3 linked regions of the Alligator mississippiensis genome follow. The protein of the gene in region 1 purifies or fractionates together with the protein of each later gene. This does not show direct contact. Links are inferred from orthologs where the notes say so. Each region holds a gene or a part of one and is shown in the gene's direction. Other genes may lie near its edges.

Evidence for each region.
Region 2: the proteins of CDK19 (region 1) and MED16 purify together in Homo sapiens (affinity purification with mass spectrometry; 6 studies listed by BioGRID and IntAct, counting the BioPlex papers as one, with this or other methods). This does not show direct contact. The link is inferred for Alligator mississippiensis from reciprocal best matches to the Homo sapiens genes CDK19 and MED16.
Region 3: the proteins of CDK19 (region 1) and MED13 purify together in Homo sapiens (affinity purification with mass spectrometry; 6 studies listed by BioGRID and IntAct, counting the BioPlex papers as one, with this or other methods). This does not show direct contact. The link is inferred for Alligator mississippiensis from reciprocal best matches to the Homo sapiens genes CDK19 and MED13.

The regions. Positions count from the first base shown.
Region 1 is NC_081824.1:96,328,459-96,335,851, reverse strand, and holds the start of CDK19 (cyclin-dependent kinase 19), read left to right. Parts: upstream 1-4,371; 5' UTR 4,372-4,904; coding exon 4,905-5,032; intron 5,033-7,393.
Region 2 is NC_081839.1:3,218,076-3,225,625, forward strand, and holds the start of MED16 (mediator of RNA polymerase II transcription subunit 16), read left to right. Parts: upstream 1-4,488; 5' UTR 4,489-4,599; intron 4,600-4,902; exon of another isoform or gene 4,903-5,213; intron 5,214-5,370; 5' UTR 5,371-5,435; coding exon 5,436-5,571; intron 5,572-7,147; coding exon 7,148-7,255; intron 7,256-7,550. UniProt on the Homo sapiens protein: Component of the Mediator complex, a coactivator involved in the regulated transcription of nearly all RNA polymerase II-dependent genes.
Region 3 is NC_081837.1:3,766,988-3,773,963, forward strand, and holds the start of MED13 (mediator of RNA polymerase II transcription subunit 13), read left to right. Parts: upstream 1-3,934; 5' UTR 3,935-4,156; coding exon 4,157-4,222; intron 4,223-6,276; coding exon 6,277-6,511; intron 6,512-6,976. UniProt on the Homo sapiens protein: Component of the Mediator complex, a coactivator involved in the regulated transcription of nearly all RNA polymerase II-dependent genes.

The DNA.
Region 1 (7,393 bases):
CTGTGGGTTGGGAATGAGGGGCACCAACAGGGCCTGGGGAGACAGGGGACTGCCCCTCACAATCATATCCCCTCCTCCCCCCAGCAGGTATCCTCTTTTTTGGAACTGGAAATATGGTAACCCTAATTACACCACACAACTTGTTTCTTTCAGTATTTCTCCCTCTCATTTGCTGTTGCTTAAAGAGTCCTCCATTTTCTCTAAGTTACTGCTTGGTGTGACTCCCTTTCCAGAGGTAAAGGGGAGACAAGGATGACTTGTGCTGTTCTTCTCCAGCCTCTCATTAAAACAGCTCCCCCTCCCCACCCTTGTGAGCCTGTCTCTAGTCAGAGGGCATGTATAGATGACACGGTGGTTAATGTAAAGCACCTGAAACGTAGAGCGATTAAAACCAAACCCCACTATTGTTTCTATAATTTTAGAGGAGAAAACCTCTCCCTCTGGAGTTGCCTAAAATAAGTTGGAACAAAAAAGAACTGAACTCTTTAAATAATTTCTATTGGCAAGGATAAACTCCTGACCGCTGAGTTAATTCTGTGCTTTTAAGGATCCAGGATACAAACTGCTGGAAGGTGTGTGAGGGAATGGTAGAACAGGAACAGACAGTATTGTTACCACTATTCTTCTGCATCTTAGCTCTGTATTGGAAAGCATAGCTGGCACTATTATTTTGGTACAACTGTGATCATAGCTACTTCTGATTTTCTTTTCTTCTCCTTGACTTCTTAAAACAGACACTGTTAGGTTTACCGTTAGTTTAAAAAATACACTTCCTTATCTCTTGTGAATATTTTGCTAATTACTTTCACCTTACTCAGTTTGGACAATAAAAAACCTGCCATTTTCATTTTCACTTCCACTTGGCTTCATTTACTGATTCTAAAACACTATTGCAATACTAAAGGGGAAAGAAATCAAAGAAAGGCCTTTTCATGAAACTTGGTTTCATGAAAATGCCTTTATTGATGGCAAGATTAGTACTCTTTACCTTTCAAAACATAATAAGCTATTTTTTTCTGCCACAGTGCCTTTAATTGTCAAGGTATCACAATAAATGAAGTAAATATCCAGAGACATACTGAACCAGCTCAAAAATATAAATCCCTCCCCCCCCGTAAGGCAAAGATATTGCCTGAGAAAATCAAAATGTTGTGGTACATGCAAGGCACCACTGAAAATTACAGCTCTCCTTAATACTTAATATCTGCAGATTAGACTTAAACATTTCAGACATAGTGAACATATTATGAACTATGACTGCCTGGCAGGACCTGAAAAAGGTATTGTCCCTTGCAAGAGTTAATGAACTCAAAAGTATTTTTTTTCTAAGAGTTTATTTATTCTGTAGAGAAAACAGTCAACTCGGAGCTTAGTTTTGGTACCTTGGCAAAAATTCTCTCTATATAAAGGGCTTAATCCATCTGTCAGCGTGTCTGTCTGTCCGTAATGCTCTTGGGGGGCATGGCTCCAGCCAGTGCTGCATCAAGAATGCCTGTCAAGAATGATGGGTGGGGCATGGCTCCAGCGGAGCGGGCCAGGCAGATGCAGAGTGGGAAGGGGAGGGAGAATGGGTGGCATGGGGCTGGACACAGAGTGGGAAGGTGGGGATGGATGTGGAGTGTCATGGGGGGGTGGTGCAGGGCTGGATGTGGACTGGTGAGGGGGGTGGCGTGGGGCTGGACGCAGAGTGTCAGGAAGTGGCGCACGGCTGGATGCAGAGCGGCGGCAGCATGAAGCAGTGGCTAGTGGTGGTGGCTGCCACATGCAAACTCCCCTCCCACCCCCCGCTTCTGGGAGGTGATGGTGGCACAGGGTGGTGGGTGGTGGTGCTCTGTCCCCGCCTGCCCTCCCTCCCCATAATTTTTGATGGGCAATTTGCTAGTATACACACAGAAAGTTACAAAAATGAAAATAAATATACATGGACTTCCATTCAGCTTTTAATGGTTTGAGGCCTGAAATGTTCATAGCTTTCTTACACATCTTAATTCATCTTTTAAAATAAATTGAGATTTATACCAGATTACTATTACAGACAGCAAATTAATTGATTTTTACTAGTGACATGGTTGTGGGAATGCCTAGGTGGAGAGGCAACTGGGGTCACAGGTGTGAGAGAGAGAGGAAAAACTGAAGCATATTTGTATTGTGAAGGGAAAGAACCAAAGAGCATAGAGCGGTTAAGGTTAAGGAAAGGATGAGTGGATACAATGTAGATGGATGGGATTGTCGCTTGGAACAAATGGAGGGATTAGAGGAGGAGAAGAGATGCACTACTGCATCAATGAGATGAGCAAGGGGTAGTTATTAGAGTGAAAGGGAAGGGAAGCAAAGAAATAAAAGAGCTGGAAAAATATAGTGCTGAGAAAAGTGGAGATAGGAAGTGGAGAAAGGCCAAGTCACAAAAAAGCAACTGAGATTGGAGGCATGCAATTAGTTATGGCGCCATATGGCATGTAGTTATATAGGTAAATGATAGAACTGAAGAAAGAGGGACATATTTGTCATTGATATTTCCCATCTTTTCACATTATTTTGACTGAAAAGGGCTACATACAGGTTTGTGGAGTTTAGTCTTAGTAACACACTTGGGTATTTTTTTAATTGGTTAAAATTGAATTAATATATCAGGGCAACATAGCACTGTAGTTAAATGCATTTGTTTCTTCCTCAAGTGCAAAGTATGATTACCAGCTGATTAAACATTTGATAGGACTGTAAAGCTTAAGACTATTAAAGACAGAGGATTTTTTCTATTCTTAGAATACTTTCTTCAGCGTTGTTGAAAGACAAATGGAAATATCCCAATATATAGTTCAGAAACAGACTGTGCTGATAGAGATCCATACCTGTAACTGAACCACTGCAGAAAACAGTACCCATAGTTCTCTAGAGAAGTTTGCTTGCAGAGAGAAGAGAAGTCAGCTCTTTGACACTGACTCTTACAGGAGGGGAAGTCAGCTGTCTGGCACTATACAGGAGGTAGCTTTCCTGCTCCCACAGCTGTTGGTAACCTTTTTGGGCTGCAAGCTGTGGTGACCCAGTTTGGGTGGGTTAGATGTGGTGGACACTGGGATCCAGCTGCTGACACTTTTGTGCAGGGCAGCATGGGGAAAATGCCTGCAGCTGGCACTTCTCCCAGCAGCAGCAGGGAAAAGCCCACATCCAGGGACTGGATCTGGCCTGTTGGGCCATAGACTCCCAACCCTTGAATTATCACTTCAGGATTACATTAATCTTTTTGCCACAAGTTTCTTGTCTTGACCGTAATAATTTAGCCCTGTTTGCAATTCATCTGTCCTTTTCCTTTGCCAACAATGGTAAACCTTTCATCTGGTAATTAATCTCTCTCTCAAGGTGTGTCCCTTATGCATGGGAAAAAAATCCCCATTGCAATCAATTAGACTAGCACATTGTTAACTCATGCATAAAAACACTGCCAGCTAGCTGATAGTGAGTAGGCAGGTTGTCAAGCATTTCAGTTTCCTACATGCCAAATCAACTACTGCTACTACTTGGCTCTCCTAGTAAGTGTTTGTTCCACTTCATTCACTTGTTGCTGCTTGTTCAAACCAGTCTGCTGAGCAGGGATGACTTTCGTATTACTTTCACAGCACGAGGTAGCCCTGATGATTGATTAGGGCTTGTTGGTGCTTCCATAATGCAAAGAAATCATGAGTAATATCAAAAAACAAGCATATTGCTAATCCAGTGTCTGAACACCCTAGATAAACTTGACCTACAAAAAGATCTCAAACAAGAAAAAGACTGGCATCTAAACGTTAGTTTTAGAGACTCAAAGCACTCCTGTGACTGCTTGAGTATAGAAGCATCCTTTTTAAGTGCCTGAAAAAAGCTCTATGCTTTTTTTAAAAGCCTCTCTCTTCAAACTCAAAGGCCTTTCACAACCTACAGAGACAAGATAAATAGGGACAACTTGCTGAAACCAGAGTTGCTTGCTCTCAGTCCCCTGGGATACTGCTGGGAGTATGCAGTTTCAGATGGAAGCAAAAACAACTACAGCTTGGCTAGAAGGAGTTGCAAACAATCTGCTGGGCTGTGAAATAGGAGCCACTTTTGTCAGAAGCAGCCAAGGGACAGCTCAGTGGCAGAACAAAGACTAGCCTGAAGGCAGGAATATCGAGGCCATTAAAAAGAGCCTGGGCACCCTCAGGAACAAGGTAAAGAGAAGAAGAAGAAAAAAAAAAAAAGTCACAAGCCCCTCCCCAGTGCAACCTAAGAAATAATGCTGCAGACACCTGGTTTTATGCTTTGGGAAAGGGGGCGGGACTTGCTTTGACCAATCCGAAGCGCCGCTGGAAAGGAGGGCGGGGCCAGGAGGTGAGTGGCAGCTCGGGAGATAAACAAGTTGCCGCGCGAGGCTCTCCACGGCCCCGCGCGCCCAGAGGCTGCAGCGGGGCCCGGCGAGCGAGGAGGGTGGCGGGCGTACGCCAGGGGGTGCGTGGTGAGGGAAGGCTGTGGGGCCGCCGCACCCGCCCCGCCCCGCTCGCTTGGTCGGTCGGTCCCGCCACTGCCCCGCAATGTGAGGAGTCAGCAAGTTTCCCAGCGGCCGCTGAATCTCCGATGGGGGTGGACCGCATTGCGCAGGCGCGGCTCGGCCAGGGCCGGTGTGGGGCACGCTGGGAGTTATAGTCGGCGGGCGGCGCTGCGGGGCCGCGGCGCTGGCAGCGGCACTACGAGTCCCGCAACACCCTGCGCGGGCGGCGCTGCGAGGAGCCCGAGTTGAAGCGGGCGGTGGTGGTGCGGCCCCCTCCCCCGCCCCCTGCAGGGAGCAGCGCGGAAGGCGGGAGTGGCCGAGCGGCGCAGCGATGGTGGCGGGCGGGGGCGCCCGGCGCGGGGGGCGCTGAGCCGGCGCCGCCGCCCGCGCCCCATGGACGGCAGACATGGACTACGAGTTCAAGTCCAAGCTGGCGGCCGAGCGCGAGCGGGTGGAGGACCTCTTCGAGTACGAGGGCTGTAAAGTGGGCAGGGGCACCTACGGACACGTCTACAAGGCCCGGCGCAAGGACGGGTAAGGCCCGCAGCCACGGCCCGGGCCGGGTGGAGGAGCCATCCCCGCCCCCGGCCTTTGGCGCCTCCCCCCGCCCCGTGCGCCCGGCCTCTCCCCGGGGGCCCCGGTGCTAGCGCTGGGAGGGGCTGACATGGCTCACACACACACACACACACACACACACACACACACACACACACACACACGGTCGCATGCACACGTGTACACATGTATGCACAGGCACATGGGCACACAGGCGCATGTATGCACAGGCACACATGTGCAGGTACACATGCACACAGCCAAATCCTGGGGAAAAGTTTTGGGCTATTTAGAAATGTTCCTGGAGCAGAGCAGAGCACTCCCTCTGCCCCCCACTGGCTTTCCCCAGGGGCAAAGGCAGGTGCAGATCCCTTGGCTGGGGCCATATGTGGGCTCAGGACCCAGTCCTGGGTTGGGGGGAGCCTGTGGATATCAGGTGTGGGTGCTTTGTGCCCAGATTTGGGGCCAGTTGGGGCGTTGCTGTGAGCTGCTTGGATCCCTTTTGGTGAGTGTGGCCTCCTGGCTTGGATACCTGTCCGAGGTAGTTAGCTGCATCAGTCTGAAAGCAGGGCAGGTTTGCACCTTTATAGACTATCTAAGATGCATGGGGTACAAGCTTTTGTGGGCTGAAGTTGGCTTTGTCAGATGGATACCTGTCGTTATTCCCAGGCATTTTGCAATCTGTGTAGTGACAGTGGTCCCTGAGTGCCTCTACTGCTCATGCTTGTCAGCCTGGTCCAGGAGATTTCTGAGGAGGTGATGCTGGGAAAAAAATTGGGTGCTGTTGTCATAGGAATATAGGGCTGGAAGGGATGTTGGGAGGTGGTCTCTTGCTTAGCAGGGGATCATCTCTTTCCAAACCACCCCAGAAAAACATTTGTTTAACCTGCGCTTACAAGAAGCATAGTGAAGTAACTTATGTAAGTACTTAAAGTAAAAGGTTTCTACAAGTGTTTGTTTGGAATAAGTGCTGCTTAACACCTTTAATATCAAACAGAGGAAATATCATGCCACTATTCCTCCCCCCCCACCCACACAGTGTCTAGCCTTTTCCTAGGCTTACTTTTACATTGTTACCCTTTAGAGTGGAGAATGTCAAAGTGTGTACCTCAGGCCAGATCTGGCCCATGGAGATGTCTTTCAGCCTGCAGAGCTCTTGGAAGGGCTGGGAATTTGGGGGATCCACTGCCAAATTCAGCCATACAGAGCCCCACTGGGGATGCATGTGCACAACACAGGAGAGACAGATGGGTGCATTAATCCCCATGGTATTTAATGCTGTACCACCAGACATGGGTCTGGATCCACCTATGAGGAGCCTTGCAGTTCAGTCAACAAAGTCTGACACCAAGGAAACATTAAATTATGCTGTAGTTCATAAGTCTGGTAGCTGGAGTGTGTGATTCTAGACTAGCTGGTAAGCAGAGTCAGAGTGATTATATGATACTGCTCTATTTCCCCTGCTACTACAGTAATGGGAAGTTAATGCCCTACCTAGTTGTTACTTTTTATTTTCATATTGCAGTTCTGTGATTAAAACTTCAATATGCTTGTAAATCCCAGGTAGGTGGCTTGCTTTTCTTGCAGAAAGCTAAAAAAAAAATGTAAGCTATTTTCCATATGTCCAAGAACTTTAAATAATTTTGGAAAATCTATAGTAAATTAATATTTGATATATTTTTTCAAATACAAAATTCCATTATTACTGTGTGAAGAAATAACGTGTGGAGCCTGCGCCTCGCTCCGCCTGGCCTATCGGGGTGTTGTCCCTCCCCTCAACTCGCCTGCCATGACTTGGATGTACTCAATTACCTTCAGAGGGGTCTCCAGAGGAGATCTTTATCCTGGGTGGGGCCTCCCGATAGATGGTGTTACTCACGGTTATTGGACGCGGTGATCCACGGGGCTCCGCCTCCCCTACACCCCGTCCACACGCCAGCCACTGGGCGATGTCTTCCAGATGTTGCCAGGCCCAGTATGATGGCCTCTGACCGGTTCCCCGGTTCCCGGTTGTCCTCCCTCCTGCTGAGAGGGGTTTCTCCTTTCTCCTCCCTTATAAATAATACTCCTCTGAACCAGGGGGAGCTGGTGGGTGCTTCCCCCGGTTCCAGCCCCCTCCTGGGGCCTCCGCTGTCTCCCCTTTCCTCCCGTCCGCAGGGCGCTCCCCTGCCTCCTGTGTGTCTGCCGCTTCAGGACGCAGAGAGAGTGCCTCGGCATGCACTCTCTGACCGCCTCTCGCTTGGCTGCTGGCGAAAGGCTTCCAGCTCTTGCCTACACTGCCTGCTTGAGACCCACAGGCGGGGTCCTCGACGCTCCGTGCAAGAGCCGGCAGCACACCTG
Region 2 (7,550 bases), on another chromosome or scaffold:
GGGGTCTGTTTTAGCTCTCGTGGCAGCTCTGGGGGGACGGGCTGGGTGTTGGCACCAGCCCCGTCCCATCGCTTCTCCCTGCAGCCTGGCACCGAAGCTGGGCTGCAGCAGCTGAAGCGTCAATGCAGAGAGCAGCGAGATTTAATGCCAAGGGCTGGCTTTCTCTGCAGGGCAGGGCTCCCATCCTTTTTAAATGTAATATAGCGTGTCCTTTTTTTATACATATTTGTGTGTGCGTGATTTAACTCGGGCCCCGGCTGCCCCGCCGCTCCCAAGGTGGCTGGAGCTCAGCGTTGCAGCTCCGCCACCCTGGGCAGCTGGGCGCGCCGGGGCACGGGAGTGTTTCGTGCTGTGGTGCTGTGTGAAATGGGCTTGGTTTCCAGCGCTGTAGGGCTGCAGACTGTGCCGCCTGTGGTTTTTTTAACGTGTACGCTCTGTGGGGTTTTTGTGCGTGTGTCTGTGTATCAAGGGCTTCTCTTCGGTGTATATAGCAGCTGGTTTGAAAGGGACGCGCTGGGCTCGGGGTGCTGCTGCCTTGCACTTGTGTGCGTCACTGCTCACGGCTGTACAAAAGCCTCGTGCATGCCCGTGCCGGGGGGGAGCTGGGGTGGGTCGAGGATGGGGGGTCGTGGTGCTTCTTGCGCTGGGTGATGGATGGGGTTTGCTGCCTTTGCTGGGATCGCTCCCGATTCACCCTGGGTGCGAGCAGGATTGGGGAGAGCAGGGCCGTGTCACACTTCACCACCACGGCATCGAGCGCTGGGGGCAAGGAGGACTTGCTCCCCCAGCAGCGGGGAGCGAATCGGGCCCTTTTATAGCATCTTCTGCTCCGATCAAATCCTCCCGAAGGCCCAGCTCTCCCATGGGTCCCCATCACTGGTGCCTCCTCCTTCCACCTCTGCCCTCTTGGCAAGCCAAAGTGATCTTCGTGGCCCCGCCAGCGTCCCGTGCAGCCGAGCGCACACTGGGGCCTGCGGCGTGTGGCCCGTGGTTGTGTCGTTGCTTCGGGAGCATGGCATCACGATTTCCTTCCTCTTAAATGTGTTCGATGCCCCGAATCCAGCTCCAGCTCTTGCCACTGCTCCTTTTGCTGGTTGCTGTGGGGGGCTGGGCTGGGGAAGGCGAGGACACGTACAGAGCCGGGAGGCATCTGCACGAGAACAATAAACCATGGTGCTCCGGACTCCCTGTGTCCGCGTCTCTGTTGGGGGGCGCAGCCGTCGGTGTCCGTCCCCGGGGGGCTTCCAGCAGGAGACGGTGGGGTGCAACGCGGGAGCCTGGGAGCTGGTTGAGCTCAAATGTCTCCCACGTGTTTGTCCCTCTGCGCTGCAGCTTGTGGGACGGAGGAGAGGGTTTCTATCCCTTGCAGCCCTTGGCCCCAGTTCTTGCCTTGTCCGTTAGCAAGTCTCCTGCCTCCCAAACTCTGGATGCTTCAGGTGGTCCCAGATCCAGGCCCCGCAGGCCTTGGAGGTTGGATGCCCCCTTGTCTTGTTTGCCACCAGCCAAAAGGCCAAGCTGGGAAGCCCAAAAGCAATCCCACCGCTGTCCCCATAAACTGCACAGCTGAGCTCCTTGCACTTGGAGGCAGTCGGAGACTCTGGCAGGGATCAGCAAGGGACAGGCCTCACCTGTACCTGTGCCACGGCCTTCGAAACCGAGACGAAGGGGAAGTAAGAGCCACCGGGGCTGAAAGCATCTCCCCTGCCAGGTGCCGGGGGCTGCGGGAGGCTTCCTGCCCTGCAATTGCTTTTCAATAAGAGGCTGCGTGACCGCCAGGTGCACGTGGGCAGGAGACGGCCGCTCTCCAGCACATCTTAAGATTTCATAGATTCATAGACATTCGGGCTGGAAGGGACCTCGGAAGATCATCGAGTCCAGCCCCCCGCCCAAAGGGCAGGACGTCAGCTGGGGTCATAGGATCCCAGCAAGATAAGCATCCAGTTTCATCTTGAAGGTGTTCAATGAAGGTGCTTGAACCACCTCCGGCGGCAGGCTGTTCCAGACCTTGGGGGCTCGGACAGTAAAGAAATTCTTCCTTATGTCCAGCCTGAAACGATCTTGTAGTAGTTTGTGATCATTCGTCCTCGTCATCCCTTGGGGCGCTCTGGTGAACAGACGTTCCCCCAGATACTGGTGGTCACCCCTGATAAACTTGTAGGTGGCCACCAGATCACCCCTGAGCCTGCGCTTTTCCAGGCTAAAGAGCCCCAGGGCTCTCAGCCTGTCATCGTAGGGTCTGCTTCCCTGACCTCTGATCATGCGCGTGGCTCTTCTCTGGACTCTCTCAAGCTTCTCCACATCCTTTTTGAATTGTGGAGCCCAAAACTGGACGCAGTACTCCAGCTGCGGCCTCACCAAGGCCGAGTACAGGGGGAGAATGACGTCCCAGGATTTGCTTGAGAAGCATCTATGGATGCAAGCCAGCGTTTTGGTCGCTTTACCAGCCGCAGCATCGCATTGCCGGCTCATGTTCATCTTGTGGTCAATGATGACCCCCAAGTCTCTTTCTTCCATAGTGCTAGCCAACATAGCACTGCCGAGCCTATAAGGATGCTGCGGGTTTTTCTTCCCAAGGTGGAGAACCTTGCATTTATCGGCGTTGAACACCATCAGGTTCTCATCCGCCCACTTGCTGAGCCTGTCCAGGTCAGCCTGGATCATCCGCCTGTCTTCTGGTGTGGATGCTTTGCCCCAAAGTTTGGTGTCATCGGCGAACTTGGCCAGTCCACTTCTGACTCCAATGTCCACATCATTAATGAAGATGTTGAACAGTGTGGGTCCAAGGACAGAGCCCTGGGGGACCCCACTGGTCACAGGACACCAAGAGGACTGGCTTCCTTCAACCACCCCTCTCTGGGTCCCACCATGGAGCCAGTTCCCCAGCCAGCAGATTGTGGTGGACCCAAGGTCACAGTTAGCCAGTTTTGCCAAGAGGTGATCATGGGACACCAGATTGAAGGCTTGTTGAAGTCAAGATATATGACATCAATCTCTTCCCCCTTGTCCAGGTGATAGGTCACCTGGTCGTAGAAGGAAATGAGATTGGTCAAGCAAGACCTACCCGCAACAAACCCGTGCTGGCTATCCCTTAAGATGTTGGCGTCGGCCAGTCCATTAAGGATGGCCTCTTTAATAAACTTTTCTAAGATCTTCCCCGGGATAGAAGTCAGGCTGATGGGCCTATAGTTAGCCGGATCCACTTTCCTCCCTTTCTTGAAGATAGGCACTGCATTGGCCAAGGGGTTCAGCTGTGCAGTTTATGGGGACAGCGGTGGGATTGCTTTTGGGCTTCCCAGCTTGACCTTTTGGCTGGTGGCAAACAAGACAAGGGGGCATCCCCTTGTTGGCACGTGGGACTGCAATGAGCATTTTGCTCCAGCTTCAGTTTGTGCCAACTGGAAAACCCCACGTGGAAGAGGCAGGACGTGGACATGGGAGGGAAAAGGGGCTGGGGTTGGGGTGCCTAATGCCCCCAGGCCCAAGCTGGCTTGGATGGGAGACCCCCAAGAAAACAGATGTGCTGCACCCACAAGCATGCCAGGCGCCTGCTGGGCTGAGGCAGGCACAGTGGCACGTAACCTTCCTCCATGAGGACCTCCAGGGGAGAAGAAATGAAGCCCCTCGTGCCCTCTACCTGCTTTCCCATGGGTGGTACCGCTCCCGGCCTTGCAAAAGCATGCACAGGAGCCCTTGCCCCGTGCCCCTTCCTGCCACCTGGGGCAGCTGCCCTGCACCCTGGCAGCAGGGCCAGGGGCTGGGTAGACCTGCCCTCCCAGGGGCACCGTGGGCTTCTGGGAAGCCCAGCGCAGTTTGCTAGGCTGTGCACTAGGCAGCGCTACTGGGGCTTACTGGGAGGGGGCGTTTCCTTCCAGCCCCCACATGGCAAAGGGGCTCGGGGTGGGGGTCCCGCTGCAGCTGCAAGGGAGAGCAAAACTATGGGCCCAAGGGAATGCACAAAGCGGAACATTGGGAGAGCAAACTATGGACCCGAGAGGAGCAAAATATGGAACGCTTCACGAATTTGCGTGTCATCCTTGCGCAGGGGCCATGCTAATCTTCTCTGTATCGTTCCAATTTTAGTATATGTGCTGCCGAAGCGAGCACGAATGTCCCTTCTCCCAGATCGATATTTATACCTCATAGTTATTCATACTTTTACTCTTATGGTGATTAACTATAGCACGTTACGGAGTATAATTAGATGAATGATTCATGAAAAATACTGTATGATGCAGATACTTTTTTAATTTCTAAGTTATTTGTGGTAAAATCTTAGGAAACTTCCACTTTTCCAGCGCCGGCGATGCGAGGGATTCTGGGAGAGGGAGCTTGTATACAAATCAACACCCGGCCCGGAGCGCAGCCTGATATAGAAAGACCCCGACTTGGGGGCGTCCGCAACGATGCCTGCGCGCGCGGCTCCGAAACCGCCTGCGGCTTGAGCCGAACAGCCCTCCCGCCGAGGAGCCTCCCTCTCCCCCCCTCGCCGAGGGCTCCGTCTCGGCCCTGAGTTGCACGTTTGGCTCAGGCGCAGCGCGGGCAGCCCTGCCGGGGGCCTTCGTCAGCCAGCGGCGAAGGAGCGCTGGGGTGGGGGTGGGGGTGAGTCCTGCGCGGGGGGAGGGGAGGCAAGGGGGGGGGCTGTGGGGGGCTCCAGTCGCCCCTTGGGGAGGGGAGGGGGCTCTGGCTACCCTGGGGGCAGCTCCAGTTGCCCCTGGGGGGCATTTCAGTTGCCCCTGATTGGGGGGAGGCTCTGGTTGTCCCCTGGAGGAGTGGGGGATGGGCCTCTGGCTGCCCTGGGTGGGGTGGGGAGGGCTCTAGTTGCCCCTGGGTGGGGTGGGGGGCACTCTAGTTGCCCCTGGGGGAGGGGGGGGCACTCCATTTACCCCTGGGGGGCACCCCTGGCTGCACATTGGGGGGGCGCTTTGGCTGCCCTGTGTCCGGGCCAGGGGTTGCTGGTGGGGGGCGATGCTGACGGCGTTGGCGGAGGCAGCGAGCCCCCCCTTCCATCTCCCTGAAAGGCAGGTATTCGGCGAGGTCTTGGGGCAGGACCCGAGGCGTTTTTAAGGATTCCCGAGTCGTGCGAGATGCAAAAAGCCTGAACTCGTGGTGCAGAGATGACACCGTTCTTGGACCAACCGAGACCGTGCCAGAAAGCATGTCAATAGTGCCAGGCATTCGCCCCTCCGCTGGCCCTGCCCAGTGCGACCCTCTCGGTATTTGGGGGCCCTGGCTCAGCGCAGCGCGTTTCCTTTGGAAAGCAGCTGCTACTTTATAAAGCAGCTTTCCAGCGATGGGCCCGGGTCTCCTGAGCGGGGTGAAACGGGGGGAGAGAGTCCGACAGCAGAGAACAGCGATTCTTCTCTTCCATAGGCACCAAAGTCCATGACTAGACGTCGCGAAGGCGAGCGGTGCCTTGGACGCCTTCCCGAGGCAGCATGGACTTGGCTTACATCTGCGAGTGGGAGAAGAGGCCCAAAAGCAACCACTGCCCTTCAATCCCACTGGTTTGTGCTTGGTCCTGCAGGAACCTGATCGCCTTCACGACAGACCTCAAAAATGAAGAGGAAAAAGGTAGGGCAAAATTGTGTGTTTTCCTCTTTTCCTGAACGATGTCTTACAATGGGAATTTTCCACGAGGAAGAGCGGTGTCCTGTTGTAGTCCCCCCTAGCATTGCTTCTAGCTGGGGATAAAGCATTCAGAAAGGTGCTTTAGCGAATCCCAAAGTGATTTAAGAGTATAAGTCTCACTGGCTTTGATTGCCCGGTGGTTGCGTGAGAGGGTTGTTTGCACATCTTATTTATTCTCCTTGCTGGTTGTGGACGAGGTTTTTTGGGTCGATGCGATATCTAAACGAAAGAGCTGGAAGAATTGTTCTTTGCACCTAAACTAAATAGTTGGAAAAATTGTTCTTTGCAAGCTTTTGAGCAAAAAAACCACCCTTTTCCGGGCACAGGGAGAGTCTGTTGGTGTTTTGTGTGCTCCTCTGGGTAGACAGCACGCTTGTTATCAAGAGTTGGGACAAGCAGGTGTCAGTGGCTGCTGCGGTGGATGCGACAGCAGCAATGTTTCATCCTATCACAGTGAATGAAAATGACTTTGGCATTTGCTGTTTAGTCTCCTCCATGGCACGGGTCTCTTGCTTCTGCTGCCTTCCAATGAAGCAAGGTGCTTCCTGGCTGAAGTGACAAGTTTTCCCCTTTTCTGTGGTTCAACAGGCAGGAGCAAATGCAGCGGAAAGGATTGGGGATTCATCTCCAGGCACCATTGATTTATTGCTTGTGACCTTAATTCTGTTGTCAGATCCACATGGATGGAACCGGGTGCCACTGGTTTCAGGGAGTTGAGGGGTCTGACTGCAGGGGTTCAGTGCAGAGTCAGAGCCTGCTTAAATTGTTCTCAATAGGACATGTTATCCTGTTGTTTTGGGGAATAACCAAGCCTCTCACCTTGTGAGACTCGCACGCTGGGCTTCTCGACAAGCAGGCTGCAGCCAGAAAACGTAGGCAGAGAGGTTTTCTAGGGTAGTGGTGGATTTCCCGTCTCTTGATCACTTTAGGTCAAAATCGGATGCCTTTCTAGAGGCTGTGCCTTAGTCGCCTGGAACCGTGCTCAATACAAGGGGAACCGGGCAAAGTTCTGTGGCCTGTAGTACACGGGCAGCTAGGACTTGTGCGGTCATGGGCCCTGCTGGCTCTGACATCAGTGAGTCCTAGTGCAAACAGTGTGGGAGATTTAGGTTCTTTCTCTTTTCCTCTCCGCAAAACATCATAGTCATTTCATACACCAGGGCAGTGACTCTCAGCCTCTTTTATAATCAAGGGCTCCTCTTCCCAGGCTGGAAGTGCCTTGCTCCTTCAGCTGGTTTTATTAAAGATACTGCTTGCAGAATGGGAGGTGGTTTTGATTTCCACCCCTCCAGCACTTTCACAATCCTGAGATTGAGAAACGCCAGCTAAGGAGCTGTAGACAGTTAATTCTTTGGAGCAGTGAGTGGCTCGTTTGGTACATCAGGTAAGGAAGCCTGTGTATATGTGTTGCTGTAGAAATGAGGGAAGCTGTTGCTGGTGTCCTGCTCTGAGAGTTGTCACAGTTTAAAAACCTGCAGTGGAGGTTACCTGGAACTGACCTTGTGTGTTTTCTTCCTAGATCTCACCCACATGGTCCATATCATCGACACAGAGCATCCATGGGACGTTTATTCCATTAACTCTGGGCACGTTGAAATTATCACCTGCTTAGAATGGGATCAGTCAGGTAAGCACTGCTCAAACAGCGTTTATTTCCCTGGCTTCACAACATTGCAGAGTGTGGTGAGATGCCAGGAGGAGGGTTTGGACAGACTTCTCCTTTGCCTCCCACTCTCTGTGGCCCTGTGCATGGATCTGGTCAGCTGGGTCTGCACTGATTGCTGTGCTTCTCACCCCTTCCAGATTCAAAGGAGTTATGGTTTTATTTTAACCATCAGTGATTAGCTGTACAGCTGCCAGCAAGCTGCTCACTCTTGCAGTCATTCTTATTTCAGTCTTTCTGTAATCTCTTGAAAAGTAGG
Region 3 (6,976 bases), on another chromosome or scaffold:
ATGGAGGGAATTCTACTTGTATAAATGTCTGGGGTGCTGGAAAAAAACAGAACCGTTCTCCCAAATTAGACTATATAAATAAGGGGAGAAGAGCAATTGGCTGTAGCAGTTTTAGAGGCTGCAAAAACTGCCCTCTCCATCTTGCAGTCATACACTGATTGCCACCGAGTCCTTTTTCATCTTCCATTATTTAAGTAATGGTGTTACTGAAGGTGATGCTTGTTTGTGCTGTTCACTTCAAGTTGTGCTTGGCGTTGTCCGCTAGATGTCTCATCCACTTTCCTTTTTAGAACTTTACTTTCAAAGTGTACCATTTTCTTTTATATTATTCCATGGAGAGATTCCCCAGGCGATGATATAATCCATTGACTCTTCATATTCAACAGGGGAATATTTTTATCACGTAAATGAAAAAGGAGCAAAAACTGGAACAGTTCAGAAATGCAAACAATGCTGAGGAAAAAGGACTTGCTTTTTTGTGCCTTCTCTTTATTCCACTAATAAATAATTATTTGAGCACCTGTGCCTACTGGGAAAATAGGCTGTTTCTCACTCTTCATGGCTGGATGCTTAGATGATTTGAAGCCACTTGTAAGTGGGGGGGGGAACAGTATAATATGTAGGGATAAGTATACTAATGTTCAAGGTTTCACCTAGCCAGTTCCCTGACTTCAGTCTTGTGCAATGCTGGACACTTCCCCCCATCACTATCTTTCCAAAGACTGGTTAATTTTTAAATTGGATCAGCAACGTTCTCTTGGTTCTTTCTATTGCATAAGCACAGGAACCATCAGAGACCCCATTGCTTTCAGCTCCAAGTACAAGGCATGCTTATTTGACCTCATCTCTCCTGATTTTTATAAACAAATAGCTTAATGTACATATACAAGACATATGTAAAAATATTTTAAAATATAAAAACCCCCAAACTTTAAACTTAACATTTTAAAATGTGCACTGCACTTGACAGTTCTCATGTAAATTTTTGGAAGTTGTGGAGATTAGGACTCTGCAGGGACCTACATAAAATAAATAAATAAATGAAGCACTCATCTCCCAGTTCTAGTGATGATATTATTAGTATTATTATTTTTATTTTTTTTGCATAATTAGTTGGGGAGAGGAGGAGGCATTTTCCCCCCTTCCAGTCATTAGAAGCTTTGTCTTGCAACTTGTAGTGATCTGAATCTGAAGTGCAAGTTGCATAAGATGCAGGGCTGCCATACATGAATAGCTATACACTTAATATTATTCAGTGTGTCTTAATATGATTTAGGCAGGGCCCTTTTTGTGTATGACACTTTATGTAAGGTATAAGGCTACTATAAGATCATTTTGGATCTCGCAGAAGTGATAGGATGAGGAGGGGGGAATAAAAACAACACAACCAGCCCACAACCAGTACTGTAAGGAAAAAACCCCACAATATGTATCTTTAGCTAATTTCACCTCTGAGGACATGTCCTTTCTGCTTCTGGGCATAAATTTGCACTTGTATACCATAGCACCTTCAGCAGGGATACCGCAGTACTTTAAAATGTATTTACTAACCTGATCGTGATGTGAGAATGAGGTGTAGAACGTAAGCAAGTTGCCAAAGACCAGCTAGGCAGAAAACCCGTGGGCAGAGTCCGTATTAGACCCTAAATCGGTTGCCTCTGAATCCTTTGGTCTAACCACCGACCTGCCCTTTAAGGAGATGGGGCCAGATTCTAAACTGCTGGTGTTTTGTCATTGTTCACACCTTGACGTACAGGGCTGCTTCTCCCTCTAAAAATCAGGCCTACAGAAGTACTGCAATGTTGCCATTCTCGCACTCGAATCCCATTTTTACCCAAAGATCCTTCTTCTGCTTAATGGAAACCACACCGGTACTCCTGTATTAATGCTGATCTCTGCTTTCTTGTAGTTCCTTCAAAGTGTTGAATTTCTCCTTGGGGATGTGTGACTTAATAACGCTGCAAACAACTCTCTCTGTGTGCAGGGAGATAATTACTCTAACGACCAAAGGTCTGCATTAAAACTTTGGAGGGCTTTTGCTTGTATCCAAAGCAGCCTAGAGGAGTCGGTTCTGAGCACTGCAGCAGAACACCTCCTCCTAGTCCTGTCCTGATCTTCAGTCACCACGGAGAAAACCATCTGCTTCTAGTCGGAAAGGGGCTTGGGTTCCTAATTGCCCTCTCCCCGCATCCCATCTCTGTCCCCAGCTGCTGAGTTTAGATGAGCAGCAAGGGAAAAGATCTCCTGTAAATTTCATTTTCTCTTTTAAACACTCCAGTTTAGGCTTAATTGAATAAAGGAGGAAAATCCTGCTTGCAAGGGCATACGAAAATAATCTCAGGGTGACTAAATCTACAAAGTTTATGAGAAGCAAATGCATCTGTGCTTGCTCACTGCTTGTGCCTTTTAGCATATAAATGTATTTATAGAGTGTCCTTTCTTTCCTCCCACGCTCAGTCAAGGCAGCAGTAGAAAGCTGCCACTCGACTCATTCACCAATCCTGAAATAAGTTTTTGGGGGCTTGGGAAATGCGTTGCAAGGTCTTGATGTGGCGTGCCGCCGTGGCATCCAGATGTTGTACTAGCGAAGTCACAGGATCATCCTGGAGAAGTCGGGGTGGAAGGGACCTCCAGCGGTCACCTCCTGCAGCCCCCTTTCCAAACCATCCTACGCCGGTTGTTCAACTCTCTCGATCGTTTGTATCAGACCCTTTGGCAAAGCCAGGCTAGAAGACGTTAGCCAGCAAAGCTACGTTTAAAAAAACAATGTCAAAACGATGCCGCAGCCGTGATGGTCCGTCCAACTTGAGCGCTTGTGGTCCAGCCGCAGGCTCGTGAATTTGCCGTCGTGGCTGGCGGCAGCAGCGATGCCTTGATTTGAAGATCTCTACCGTGGCTCGTCAATGGGTCTCGAGGCAACTTAGTCCTATCCGTGAACCGCGGACCAAGCTGCAGGTCTTTCCACAGCGGAGAACAGACCGTAGGCCCGATTTCCCCCCCCTGCTCTCTGTCCTCCACCGCGAGGGCGAGACCGTTTCCTTCAAAACGGGAGGCCGTCGCCCAAACCGCTCCTCCCAAGGCTTGACCGCGGCCGTCCGCCTTCTTCAGGTCTGCCCTCAACGTGGCCTCCCGCCATTACTAGCGAACGTCTCCTCCGGCTTGCCCTTGACACGAGGGGGTGACTTTTTGAAGACGGCTGAAGAGCCCAGTCGCACCTGCGGAGAAGCGTCCCGAGCACGACGGGCGGTGCAGGTGCGCGACCCAGCCGCCCAGCTTTGTCTGCACTGTTGGTGGTGGAGGGCACCCCTCAGGGGCAGCCAGGAGGGCTGGGGCCTGCACCCCCACCTCCAGGCCGCCCCCCACCCACCCCCCGGCTGGGCCGCAGGCGTTGGGCGGCCGCTAGATGGCGGCGCCTCAACGGGCAAGGGGCCGGGCTCAACAGCGCTGCCTCGCGCCCCAGCGGCCGCTCCGCGCCACTGCCGCCGCCGCCGCCGCCTGGGCCGAGCCGCCATGACCGGGCGGCGCCACGTGACGCGGCGGCGGCCAATCGCGGCGCGGCGGGGGGGGCCCCGGACTCTCGTCCCCGCGGCCGCCATTAAAGAAAAAAAAAGGGGCTCGGATCGGAGCGGGAGCGCAGACCCCCCCCCCCTGCCCCGCACCGCCACCCGCGCCCCCCGCACCGCCCCCGGCACGCGGCGCAGGGCAGGATGCCGCGGCCGGGCAGCCGCCGCCAGCGGCACCGCTGAGGGAGCGGGCGGCGCTCCGGGACGCAGGCCGCGCACTCGGGGCCCGCCCCCCGCGCGGACACGGCCGCGGCGGCGGGCACTCGGCGGGGCGGCCGGACTCGGCGGGAGCCGCCCGCCCCCCGCGCGGACACGAGGGGCCGGGCGTCGCTCCCCGCCCCCGCCCCTGACGGAGGGTCGCGCCCGCTGCGCGCCCCCCCGCGCCGGATCGCCGCCCTCCTCCTCCTCCGCCTCCTGCCGCCGCGGCCCCCCCGAGCCGGCGGGCAGCGCCCGCGCCTCCCCCCGCCGGCGCCCCGGCCCCGGCCCCGGCCCGGCGCCGAGCCGTGCGGGCGCCCCCCGCCTCCCTCCCCGCCTGTCTCTTTCTTTCTTGTCGGAGGCTGTGGGATAATGGCGCGCGGGTTGCGGCTGTGAGGATGAGTTCCTGCTTCGTGCCGAACGGGGCCAGCCTGGAGGATTGCCACTCCAACCTCTTCTGCCTGGTGAGCCAGTGCCCGACCGCCGCGGGGGGGAGGGGAGGCCGAGCAGCCATTTTTTTAGGGGTTGGATGAGTCCTCGGAGTAGGCCCCGCACCTCACCTCTCCCCCCACCCTGCTGTCTGTCTGTCTCCTGGCGCCCCTCCTCCTCCTCCCCCCCCAACTCCCACCACCGTGCGGACACAGCTCGCCTGCCCCTTCTCCCTCCCGGCCCCCAACTCCCAGCTCCCTATCGCCACGGCTCGCCTGCCCCTTCCCAGCCCCCAGCTCCCGCCGCCCGATCGCCACCCGTCTTCGTGTTAGCGCTGACAGGAAGGCGGCACGCAAACTAACTTTCTTCCCCCCCCCCCCCAGCCCGAGCCCGATGGCGCTCGCGGGTGGGAGACCAGGCCAGGTTCCTTCGGGGGGCGAACCCGCGGTCTTATCTCGTGGCCGGGGGCGTTTTGTCCGAGGAAGCGTCGCTCCCCGCTCTTCCCGGGTGGATTGGCTCCGCCGCTCGCTTTCGTCCGAGCGGTTTGGGCGATCCCCGTTAGGGGGTCCGCGGTTTCGTGTTGATGGCTGCCCACGCCAACTTGATGGAAACAAGTCAATTTCGGGGGGGGGGTCACGGCTCGGGCTTGCCTTAGTCGCTTGCAGGTCGCGGCGTGCCAGGTAGACAGCCTTGCGTTGGCCCGCAGGTCGCCGCGTGCCAGGTAGGCTACCTGGTACTGAGGATGATGGTGGTTGTTGTCAAACATGTGTCGGTCTGTTGCACTGGCGGATTTGGGGGTAGGGGACTCTGGACAGCCTGGTCGTGTCTGCCAGATAGCAAGGGGACGGGCAGCATCAGGCCTGTAGCTCAATACCACCAACATCTTTTAAGCCCTCTAGTCTTTCAGAAGGACCAGCTGTTGCAAATCCTTTCGTAACCTGGAATCCAGCCTTGCCCCTTTTTATTGAGGTAGGGGAGGCTGCCATGTTAGACCTGGAGCTGCAATACTCTTAGCTGTTTTCTCATATGGGGGAGGAGGAAATCATTAAGCAAGTACAAGGTATCCATCACAGAGGCTCATTTATTAGCTTAAAACCCATGGTGCCTCCTGGCAAGCCCTTCGAGGTCATTGCTCCAGCCAAGCAGTGGTCATAGCGTTCACCTTAGTCTCTAGTAGTGTTGCTTTGTAAATAACAGTTCTAGCTTCGTCTTTTCCCCATTAGGTGCAGGTAATCTGCCTCTAGGAAGAAGCAGGGGAAAATGCATTTTGGCTCGGAAGGTCCGGGACACATCATAACTTCTCATTCCTGACCAAAGTCAAACACATTTACAGCAAGGAAAAATAATTTAGAATTTCACTTGTAAGACATGAGATGAGAAGAGAACAGTGTTGTGCAGGGTATAGTCACCATGCTTCTTTGAAGTATTCCCTGTGTCTGAAAGGGTTTGTGTTTTTTTGCTGTAACCGGTAAAGTCTTTCAGGGGATTGGAAAGTGTCCTTTGAGGATAGGCGGACTGTATACAGGTTTCTGAAAGGGCTTTGTAACTTAAATACAGAGAAGGGCCAATGCAAGATGAAGTCCAGAGAAAAAAATCCCTTGCCAAGATGTGTGATTAGTTAATAATCACGCAGTTACGAAATTGTTTGAAAATAACTCCATTGCTGCCCTTCACTTCTGTTTTTTTAATTTTTTTTTATTTTGCTGCCTTTAAAAAGTTGATTAGTTTCATTGCAGGTTTGCTTCTGCTACTAATAATTAGAGTTGTTATTTCAGGCAGTTTTAAAACAGGATAAAGGTCATCATAACTTGGGACCTAGGGTTGGGTCTTTTTTTGGCATTCTGGTATACGCCTGGGTTTACGAAATTAGAATATAGTTTCAGACAAGTTTTATTGACCTAACCAATGGAGCTTGTTTCTTTTTTAATCTTTGATGCTTTCATAGCAAGTAGGGATCCTCTGGCAGTTTCTTATTTTGAGTCTTTCTTATACTTTCTTTCTAACTAAGAAACTAGAAATGATTTCTGGATGTAGTAAACTTTGCTTTTGCCCAAACACGTCCTTGAATTTGTTTTTTCTCTTCCCCCAGGCTGATTTAACTGGCATTAAATGGAAACGATACGTATGGCAGGGCCCAACATCTGCCCCAATTCTCTTTCCTGTAACGGAAGAAGACCCCATTCTGAGCAGTTTCAGTCGCTGTCTGAAGGCCGACGTACTGAGTGTTTGGCGGCGTGATCAGAGACCTGGACGCAGAGAGCTGTGGATATTTTGGTGGGGCGATGACCCCAACTTTGCTGACCTTATTCATCATGACCTGGCAGGTAAGAGACTATTACTAGATTTTGTTCAGTCGGCGTAAGGAATACGCTCCTTCACCCTCGTGTTCTCCAGCTTCGTAGAAATGACACTAAAGATGTACAGCTCATCTTCTGTAGTGTCGTGACCTGACAAACTGCTCAGTTTGAACGTATGGTGCTGATGGGCTGGGGTAAAGAGTCAGATAACTCTGGTGGTGGGATCTTCTCATAACGGAGCATCTGTTCTGAGTCTTGTAGTGCGATAGTAAATTGTGTGCCTATTTGGCATTAAGCTGTCTGTCTACCCAGAGGGATGGTGCCCCTCTTTACTTGCGGATCCTGTTACTTTGATAAACAAAGGGAATTATGTGAATTTTTGGTGGGTTTCTTCTCAAAAAGAGGAAAGTGTCCAAAGCTGTGCCTGTGGTTTAGGCGTGGGATGATCTGACACTTCAGAATGATGCTTTGGGATGCCGTCGTCATAGGATG